Linked DNA regions of Neodiprion lecontei. The protein of the gene in region 2 interacts with the protein of the main gene of each other region in a pairwise test. Links are inferred from orthologs where the notes say so. Each region holds a gene or a part of one and is shown on either strand. Other genes may lie near its edges.

Region 1 (5,764 bases), on a different chromosome or scaffold from region 2:
CACGATACGATAAATTAGCAGTGATAAATAAGAATGTTTATGATCGTTTTGTTGAGGTAAAAAATCACAGAAGAGTTACTGTCACAACCGGCTTGCTGAAAGAATGGGCAATGGCTGCTGCTATGCAATATCTCGATGGAAATTTCGATTTCAAAGCATCAGATGGTTGGGTGAGGGATTTCAAAAGAACACATGGAATAACATCATAGTAGCGCACTGTCAAAAATCCATTAGCCACTCAACATCAGCAACATTTCAGGAATTGATTAACACTGCACTGAATTAATCAAGCTATTCAATAAAATCAAGAAAAGATACTGTGTGCAGAAACAATAGTTCTTTTCTACACAGTTTTTAAGTGCAGACTCCCACCTTGAGGCATGTGTGGTGGTCATTATCGTGAAATTTATACATCAGTGATGAAAACATTTTCATCATCACTGGAAGCGCAGTAGGTAATAATTCATCCTCTACTTCGTCAGACACGCGTGGTGTGCTGAAAAGTGAAAAAACTTGGGAAAATTCTTTTTCGAGAAGCCAAACACAGTTACAGTTTTCAATGAAATGAAAAGATACGGCATTAAAAACTCAGGGACAATATTTATTCAGCGCTTTTTAATAGTGCCATAGGATATTAAATACTTTTCTTGATTTTCTAATGTTGTAAGAATTGTGATTGAGATCCGTCGTAAACAAATAATTATTACACTTGTGCTAGGTCAGTTGTTTATGTTAATATGTGAGAGAGGTAAGAGGAAAAATTATGTTACTTGATAATAAAATTATTTTCATCACAAATCAGGGCCTGGTAATACAAAAAATGATCCTTCATATTTTCAAGCTAAATTTTAATTCCTTGATTAAAATAAGGTTCAAATTTGGTGGCACTTCTCCAAACTCTAAAATGCATCTGAAATCAATGTGAAAACATATCCAACGTGTCTTAAAGTAGGATATAATATATTCTTTTTAAATAAAAATTATACGTTTGTGAAAAATTTCCCATTTTTTTGCAAATAATTATTGACTCATGCGATTTTGATGCTTACAAGCAACAGAGAAATTGATTTTCTAATGCTAACTAATGGATGATATTTTACTGCGATGAAATTTTTAATACGCCATTTAGTTTTTTGATCATATGATTTCTGACATGGATAAGAATATGTCATGAATTTTTTTTCTCTTTTCTACACTTTGAGATAAATAATAATACTGTATAATCCAACGTTTACACAACTGATTCAATCACAATGTTTCTTTCCTGTTCTTGGATTTTTATTGTTAATAGTATTATTTTATGACTTTATATTTCATTATATTTATTTAATTTACTATCGCCACAATAAGAACGTTTCTACGATTCCAAACGCGTTTCTCTTTTATGTTCCTTTGTTCGAATTCTTTTAATACGCAGATCGCGTCGATCAACTGATCATGATCAATAGTTCGGTCCAAATTACGCCAGTTGTCAGCGCACGCCAGTCCAAGATTAATAGTGTTCAAGAATCAAACACTATCGTCTGTTGGCATAGAAATAGAATATATTACACATATAATATATATTACCACGACAAGTCAAGCTGATGTCTGCAACTGTATGAGTGCAAGGATATTCATGTTTTGTTCCAATTATCCAGACATTATTTTTAATATGGTAGCTTTTTAAACATCCATGACAATTTTAATACTTGAAAATAATGATAAAATTTCAAGCCATGTGATTTCCAAATATATTTTATTTGTGCAGTGTACGAACGTACCGTGATACCACCATTTCGTTTTCTTTGGATTCTTATTACATGTCTTCACATAAAAGGAATTATCAGGTGGCCTTTTCTGCGAACCAAAAATAAAAAAACAATTAGAATTGGAAAGATTCACCCATAGCATAAAATTGCTCAATACTCAATAATAACTTCAAATATTCAAAAGAAGGAATTGAAGATTGTGGTAAATTTTTCTTTTGTATAAAATAATGAATATTACTGGAAGCTTGAACATCTTTCAATGTTCTGCTTTTTTGTTGACAGATCATTCCTACTAATGATGAACAAAACTTAGATCCAAACTTTCGAACTATAACTCAGAAGAGTTGATGAACTAAGATCTTCATTATTTCATTTTCACAGTTAAATGTATTCTTCATAAACTGAACAAGTCAACTGAGGAAACCAGGTATTTGAAACGCTTTGAACAACTCAATGAGTCAATTAAGATAGCGAGGAACGAATATAAAACAAAAGAAAAATCATACAAGAAAAAAAAACCACATAAAAAATATTAGAGCATTACCTTTTCTTTGCAACTGCTCAGCATAGAAACTATACTTAAACAGACGCTTTGGACACTCAGAGCAGGTGACCAATCATCAGTCAGTATAGACAGACAGATATGACCATTGCTGTAGACATGTGGATGAACAGGGATGTTGCCTCCAATAAATGTGACTTCAGGTGAATCAAATGGGTACTTGGAACTGAACTTAAATTGCAACTGAAATCTTTCACCCTCGTATAGCGTCCCCTTTGCTCCTTCCATATGGATTATCCATTGTGTCAGATTCTGGCCAGCTTGATCACCATCTACGTGAACACCAGGAGGTGGTTCACGCATCAATGACATCAACTCCTTTTGTAATCTCCGCTGAAATCCAGTAAAATTTATTCTTTGTCAGATAAAGTAATTCAAATGAGGGTCAAGAATAACTAACAGAATTTGGAGACTATACCACAGAATCTGCTGAGAGTAAAACCCACGGGTAATTAACTAGTTATATTTTGAATGCTGTTGTAGATAACCTAGTAAAATATCAAAGTATCTATGTACCATAATATTAATAAAATTTATCACAGAGAACTGCCTCGGAATGAAGTTCTTGGAACAGTAGGTAAGCAATTATCAAATAACTTATCAAAATTGACTATATTCTACATTAGCAAGTTTTAATCAAATTTCTTTGTCTTCATTTAGCAACTTGTGAATTCTTTGATTTTTTCCTATTCTACCGATTTCCCAGGTTTGTGACAACCTTGGCAAATACATTGATATATTCGATTATTTGTGAACTAGTGGCGGTTGTACAATAATTTAAAGTAAAAATTTCTATCTTGCATTTTTCTGTAGCAGAAGCGATATATAAAATCTAGGACATCTGTCACAAATGAACAAATGTGCTTGGACCACATTAAATTTAATAATTATAATAATCCAGTTTTCGAAGTGTCAAACATAATCCAGTCTTGTACATTATAGACCAGCCATAATTTTTCATTTTATAAGACTATTTTGCTTGCGTTTGTGAGTCATAAGGTGGGATAAAAATATGTTATCACTTTCAGTTAAGCATAGAAATTCATTGTTCAGAATTATCATGAGTCACATACGTCAAAAGATTTAATACAAATTGCATTGGCACGTGACTAAGCGACGAAAACTAAAATTGACAAATGGAATAAATAAATAGAGTAAAACGTCACATTGGCCCAAGAGGACAATGCACTCACGTAGTTATTGGACTAGATACCCAATCGATACACTTTGGTATCTCAATTTTAGCTACCCAGTAAAATAAAATTTGCACACTACTTAGAAGCGTAGTAGCAGTCAGAATAATCTGACATTCACCTGCATTTCGCAAAAAATTTAACACCGACTCACCTCGGACGGGGACATTGCCGCCATTATTGTTAAACAGCACTTGAAACATAACCATTCATGGTATCGGAAAATTATGAACTTTAACGACGATTGTTTGGTATCTGAACGGTAAGAGGTGATGAATATTTGCAGCTATAAAATCGCATTATATCAACTTTATTCCAGATACATTGGTAGCGCCTAATTTGGAAACAAGTTTGTTAATTTGACAGTAATCCAAACTGACACTAAAGACAAGCAGCACCAGGCCACAGCAGACAGACCTCTGACCACACAATCCATGCTAGAAATAGTAACGTCAGAGATGCCCGCATAAAATTTTGACGACTGTAATTACCAACAGGTGTGTCAATTATTCCCGCTAGAGGCGCAGCGTCGGACTACTCATTATTACCATATTATTATCCATGAGTTTTCTACTCGTTCCAATCTCTCTATATAGTTCGTGATTGTTAATTGTGACTTACCCGCCAAAAAGTATGGCGAGGCAAATGTAAAGATATGTGTCAGCAAATTCATATTGGTTTTTAAGTAATCATTTTTGACAGAAATCCACCGTAGTGATAAGTGCAACGTGTGCTGCATCAAATATATTGATATATTTAATACATAATAATGTCCACCTGAATATACAACTTCCTTGACGTTTTTTATAGATTCATAGATTTCTGTTCTAACCAACTATTGTCTGGCAATACACCAAAGGTAAAAGAAGAATGATATTAATTATCTACCAAGTCTAAGAATACAATAGATATAACAGTGAATTTTATTTCAATGAATTTTTTGCTTTTTTATTTAGGTAGAAAACCTGTTTGACCATGGCTAGTGACAATGATTCCGACGTTGGAGATTTGCTAGAAGATCTGCTAGCAAATGATGAAACAGAAGATGCAGATGCATCCATTCAAAAATCAAAGCCAACAGAATCAAGCCTCAACTTTTTAGAACAAGAAACTAATATTCCTAGTCCTCATAGATATTCTACACTCGGTAAAAAAACTATGATTCACAATGGTGATACGGATTCATCTGATGATGAAGATAAACGTGATTTTGAAAATCAAAATTACTCCAGCTCAGGTCGAGAGATAAAGAACATTTTAAAGAGTAATGCATCCGAAACAAACACCTCTTATCCAAAAACATTTAAAAATACATCCGGATCTTTCACTAAAAATCACAGTACTGAGTTATGCTGTCCACCTGACTCCACCAAGACTGAATCAAAAGACATATACTGCGACCCAATATTTGGGTTAAGAATTATAAATCCTGTTGTGTCTTCAGCCTCTCTAAAGGAAAGAATGACAGGTAGAACACCAGTCACAGTTTCTAGAATCAAATATCACTTGAACACTGCAGATCTCCAAACTGACTGGGTAATTGCCGGAGTACTTATCAACAAATCTGGTACACGCAGTTCACAAAAAGGAAACCAGTACTGTATCTGGAAGATAAGTGACCTGTCTGATGGTATTAAAACCGTATCTTTATTTTTATTTGGTGATGCCTACAAATCATTTTGGAAAACTAATACTGGCATGGTGATTGGAGTTTTGAACCCAGGAGTACTGGATAACAAAGATGAAAATATAAATGAGGCAGCCTTATCTGTTGATAATGGACAAAGAATAATGATATTGGGAGTGTCTAAAGACATGGGAGTTTGTAAATCGAAAAAGAAAAATGGTGAACCATGTACAAGTATAGTAAACTTACATAAATGTGAATATTGTATATATCACGTTCAACAAGAATATAATAAATGCGCCCGGAGATCCGATTTACAATCATCCAGTAATAGCAGAGGTGTGTCTACAAAAAACGCTTTGCAGAACAAGTTACTAGGTAAAGGTGAGACTATATATGGTGGACGTAGCTTTACGGCAGTTCCAGCTAAGAGAAATTTTAAAATGTTAGAAAAAGATCGGGCTCGATTGGAACTTCTACAAAATCCTACCCCAACAAGAACAAACTTGCAATTATCAAGTAATAACGTAGAAACGAAAAAGAAAGCAAGTTTGGTTGAATTGACGAGTAATCAGATGAAGAAGGATGCAAACAGATTAGCTAAGCTAAGGGGATCACTCCCAAAAGATCA
Region 2 (5,041 bases):
GACTGCCTTGAATTATTAAGTTCGCGCTGCGAGTTGCTTGACAATACTTTCACGCACCTCGGACGCTGCTTATTCGAGTTGTAAATCAGCCGTTCGGATACTTATATTACGTATGTACATCATACGTATATGTATACCGGACGATTTTCACCTCGCAGTTTAACCAATGTCGAGTCAAAATTTCGCAGAATTGTAGAGGAAAAAAAAGGCAAAATATACTCCGTACTGAAATCGACTCTTGTTTCTACAGACTGTAGCAACAAGCATAATTATTATCTAAATGGCGTATTTATTGTAGATATACTCAGGTTATAACCCGTTATCGTAAATGGGACATGGCTGTACCACTTTTGATGAATGGACAGTACAACATTTTTTAATAACAGCAATATTGCACGCATAATTATTATTGTTAGTATAATTTTTTCAACAGTCTGAAGATGTGTGAAAAATCTAACGTAGTAGATAAACTTAAAATGATAACAGACGCGAATCTTTTTAGCAATTTATAATATGAATTTTACTCTGGTTCGGTTTCATTGCTTTATTTTTTTTTTTTATTTTTCCTCCACTTTTTAAGATTGTATTTATTTTTATCGTTTGATAATATTATTTACTCATGATATACACGAGCTTCTTTTATTTTCTGAGAAAATTATTCAACATGTTTTCTCATATAGCAATGAACAGACCTGTATATGTAAATAACAGTCTTTCAAGCCAATAAATAAGACTTATTTCAATAACATACTGATAACGACAGCGAAATTGTTACAGTAATTAATTGTTTCCTCCATTGTAATTCCTGCAAAAAAAAGGTATAATTTCAGTATACTTTATTCGGCGCTAGAAATATTTTCGGCAAATATACTCTTTGTTTAGTTCTTACACATTTTCAATCAGTTCGTAAGTTAAATAGTAATGTCGGGTCGATAACTCAAATTCTACCTATCGCTACATGTTTGAAACAGTTTGTCTTCTTGTTCAAAGATGTCTTCGCAAATTGGCTACCTTGTAGAGCTAATGTTGAAACGTCATCGAAAAGTGCCTGACCAGTGCTCGGTAGGTAAGTGAGCCCAGGGCCATAAGAAGCCCTGCCAACGATCCGGTAGCTTCTTTATCGGCGGGAGCCGCTTACCACGCTATCTCATGAGAAAAAAAAATAAAATAAAACTGCAGTAGCGGTCTTGGTTTTTCACGGGTAGCAAAATTCTACCGTAGTATTTTGTTCCCGACTTTTTGATCAATAGGAATGCCAACACATCAGGGAAACGCTACGTAGAGTCTCTATAGAACGAAGTCTAGCGCTACCTGGTGCGCGCTGAATGTAAACTACCTGTTTTCTTAGCATACTTGAAGGAGAAAATTGCAACCGCAGTATTTTGCTGCGCATGAAAATCTAGACTTCAACAATCTTCAGTCAACGGCGTATTTGAGACTTGAATTCCGATATCAAGTAATTGTGTTTTTTTGAATTTTATGTAACCACAACGAATTCCGTGTGATCATCAAACTGAAACAACGTTCACGGATCCTGGAAATTCACTTGAATCACAGAATTTTTCCGTTCGTCTGAATAACGATCTACTGTTTCATTCATATTGCATTTAGTACAATGCATCTTCCCGCCTCAGTCGCTTCGAATAGCGCCGTCTTAGGTTCGACAATAAAAGCGGTAGGTAGCGCTACCTGTACTGAGACGCAGGCGTCCTTCCCGTCGGTAAGTTACCGATCGATCATCGCCCGGCACCCCGCCGCTGCGGTAATCCGAACGATCCGCGCCGAAAGCTGCCTGCCGCCTAGATCACAGCACAGCCTCGGGATTGGTCTGACCGCAAAGTGAAAAAGATGCGTGTGCAGTGTGCACGGGTACCGAGTGTCAGCCGTGGCACGAGAAGCCTGAAGGTTGTCAGTCGCGTAGTCGCGATTCCGCGGCCGAAAATCCATCCCCAGTTGAGATAATAATCCCGGAACGGATTTCACACCGTATCGGTGAAAAATTAGTGCGTGGCGGGTGCAGAGTTCGGAGTTTCGCAACGTAAGGTTACAATTCCGTCGATATTATGTCAGCAGCCTCGGTGCTGCTCGTAGCGAACTGCTGTTAGGATCCAGGAGAGTTAAAATTCGCCGACTGGGTTACGACAGAGGTACGAAAATTGGTGCGGTATCAACGCGGAGAGTGATAAGAAAAAAGAAAAAAAAAAAAAAACAACAAAACTCGCGCTGCTTGACCCCTGATTACGTGCATCGTATAGCTGGCAATTTATTGGTTATGTGTCGCGTAGATTTGCCGTTGAATTCTCTAAATCTCTCCTCGGTATCGAAGAAAAACTCGGCGTTGCAAACGCCGCTTTGCGCGTGTGTGTATGTCCCCCCTCCCTCTCTCACTGTCCCTGCTTTCATGCCTTTCGTCCTTCTCCTTTTTTTTTTTTTTTCCACCCAATAATCACCCGTACGTATCACACAGGCAGGTAATCCTGGGAGGGGCGAATACTTAATTTTCTATATTAATACAAACTCGAATAAATCTTCCCCCCCCCCTCCGCAATTCCTAGATCCGCGATTATATTTATGTCCGAACAGCAGTCGGAGTGAAATGACGGACACATGTAATTTCCGTATCCTATAAATGATCAGTCGATGTAAACTTCGATGTGAAGGAAAGGATTTACCGTTGATTTAGTTTACAACCACAAGTCTCGCATATTATAATATTCATATGTGAATAATGAAATTCGATACCGAGACAAACAAACAAACGAGATATTTCTTTCCCTCCTTCCATCTCTCTCTCTCTTTCTTTCTCTCTTTTTCTGTCGACGACTCGTCTCAAATGCTTTCCCCGGATCGCCCTCCTTTCTTTTTTTTTTTTTTCACTATCCCCCCCCTATTTCCCCCCCCCCCCCCCCCCCCTTCCGCGTTCTCTCGACCTGTCACTTCTCTAGGTATATGCCGGACCTGCGTTTCTGTTCATCGACGCATTGACCGCAGTGCCGAGTGCACGCACCGATATATCACAGTTTGTTTTTGTTCGTCGTCTCTGTCTATTAGTTTTGTTTTATTTACAAACGTCATATAATTTTCGTCGTTGTTTTTTCGGTCCTGATCTCCGCGGTCCGAAATTACATCTCCTTCTCGGTTAAGTAGTCTTAAACCCGGTGTTACATAACCTCACTATTTCGAGTCGCGAAGCCGGTCGTCATTGTTTTTTTTTTCTTTTTTTTTTTTTTTCTCAAATTTTACCGGTATCCTATCAATTGAACCTCGTAGCGCGAGAGCCTGATTCATAAAGTGACAGCAGTGATATGTGAAAGATTCGTGTAAATGTCATAACTTTTACATGTTGTTTTTTCCCCAAATTTTTTTTTTTTTTTTTTTTTCACACCGTTTCGAATATTCAAGAATCGGTGTGAAAAATTGAAAAAAAGAAAACGAACAAATGAGTAGCCCAAAAATCAAAGGAGTTGTAGTAAACTGAGTAGTATACCGTACAGTCAGAGTAATTTTTTGTCGCATTCGATTTCAGGTTTTTAAACTCTACCGGTGATCGTCGGACGTCGAACATACATATTAATAAATTGGGGAGTGAGTGTTGGTGTACCTAAAAATAACTACCCGCATCTATTACGAAGCGCCGCATCGACTTAAATAAACATTAAAAGCAAAGCAAGATCAAGGAGAACGAGACGCAGAGAGCCAAAAATAAAAAAGCAATTCGTCAAGTTTACAATTGTAGTAAAATACCGTGAATAATTGCCGGCGTACTTAAATATTGCGACAACAATCGTGTTTCTTTCAACCAGGTGCACGCAACTCCGTGACGACCGAGAGTAAAAAGTTAACCGAGTAGAAAATATCGAAGAAAAAGAAAAACAAGCGAGAGAGAGAAAGAAAGACGAGGATCGACGAGGTGATCCAGAGAACCAAGAGAAACGCATTTGAGGTGAAACCAGCCTGTAGTGAACGGTGGTGGTGGTTGTGGTGGTTGTCAAGTAGTTGCACTTGACCCAAGTGCGATTAATTAATTGTAAAAATAAAAAGTAAAAATGCCGATGGTTTTTCTCGACCGCTTGCCGGTCCCGAGCTTACGCGCTTACACCTCGATAAGCATCGCGATATTGTCCTGTTCGATTTACTACGCTGCACAAATCGTCAAGGATCCAGGATGGCGGAACAATCATCCGAACTCCTTGGTCGCCGCTGTGGGAAACGCCACCGACAACAATGCATCGGCCATTGTCGATTCCAGGACCCTCGGTGTTCACATGAGGGAACTTTTTGCCTGCATGGTTCAGGAGCCGGGATGCATATGGGTGAGTTTCACTCGACACTTGTTTTTTTTTTTTATATATCACGAAGATTAAGTTAGTAACTCAACTTAAGCTAGCGTGTTTAGGAGAACTCGTTGGAAAATTGGTAGACCTTGGTGAACAAAACATACTCGTATAATTTTGAAAGCAAACTACTTGAACGTTATTCGGATGTTGCGGAGTAATGATTGATACTAACTTCAGTCTTGTCCTTTTTTTGTCATGTTGAAGTTGGGAACGTGTCGTGAAGATTCATGCTGAGAAAAAACCGTTAATTCGTGATTTTGGAACTGTTTGAAACTCAGTAAACCGTTATAACAGAAAACATACTCATATTTCACAATCTTAGTTGCTTAAAAATCATTGTAACAAATAAGAAATTGACGATTTTATCCCCAGTGTTTCGTGAAGATAACGTTCCTAACTTCAACCTCGTTCAAGTATGAGCATGAAGTTTAAGTAGCGTTACTGTAACGATGCTTGTTAATGAAAAATCGCTACTTCGTGTCTTTAAGAATTTTCGAGAATTAGTAAATCATTATAAACAGAATATAGTTTAATTTTGTAAAGCCACTTGCTTGAAAGTCGTTCTTAAATTGCCCGATAACGATGATTCGTTAGTCTGAGGTTTCGTGACGTTAGTTAACGTTACTGACTTCAGCCTGATGGACAAATCGAGTCTTATCGGCAAGAGAGGTTTTGAAATTGCTAATGTCACTGTAACGATGGAT

The links.
Region 1: the proteins of E3 ubiquitin-protein ligase AMFR (region 2) and ubiquitin-conjugating enzyme E2 W interact in a two-hybrid assay, tested with the Homo sapiens proteins (2 studies listed by BioGRID and IntAct). The link is inferred for Neodiprion lecontei from reciprocal best matches to the Homo sapiens genes AMFR and UBE2W.

The regions. Positions count from the first base shown.
Region 1 is NC_060265.1:21,203,589-21,209,352, forward strand, and holds ubiquitin-conjugating enzyme E2 W, read right to left. Parts: upstream 3,909-5,764; 5' UTR 3,685-3,908; coding exon 3,661-3,684; intron 2,647-3,660; coding exon 2,296-2,646; intron 1,840-2,295; coding exon 1,764-1,839; intron 1,524-1,763; coding exon 1,510-1,523; 3' UTR 581-1,509; downstream 1-580. Other genes in the region: protein MCM10 homolog, read left to right, coding at 4,482-5,764. UniProt on the Homo sapiens protein: Accepts ubiquitin from the E1 complex and catalyzes its covalent attachment to other proteins.
Region 2 is NC_060260.1:39,792,479-39,797,519, reverse strand, and holds the start of E3 ubiquitin-protein ligase AMFR, read left to right. Parts: upstream 1-1,825; 5' UTR 1,826-2,038; exon of another isoform or gene 2,039-2,159; intron 2,160-3,007; exon of another isoform or gene 3,008-3,138; intron 3,139-3,254; exon of another isoform or gene 3,255-3,320; intron 3,321-3,526; 5' UTR 3,527-4,046; coding exon 4,047-4,313; intron 4,314-5,041. UniProt on the Homo sapiens protein: E3 ubiquitin-protein ligase that mediates the polyubiquitination of lysine and cysteine residues on target proteins, such as CD3D, CYP3A4, CFTR, INSIG1, SOAT2/ACAT2 and APOB for proteasomal degradation.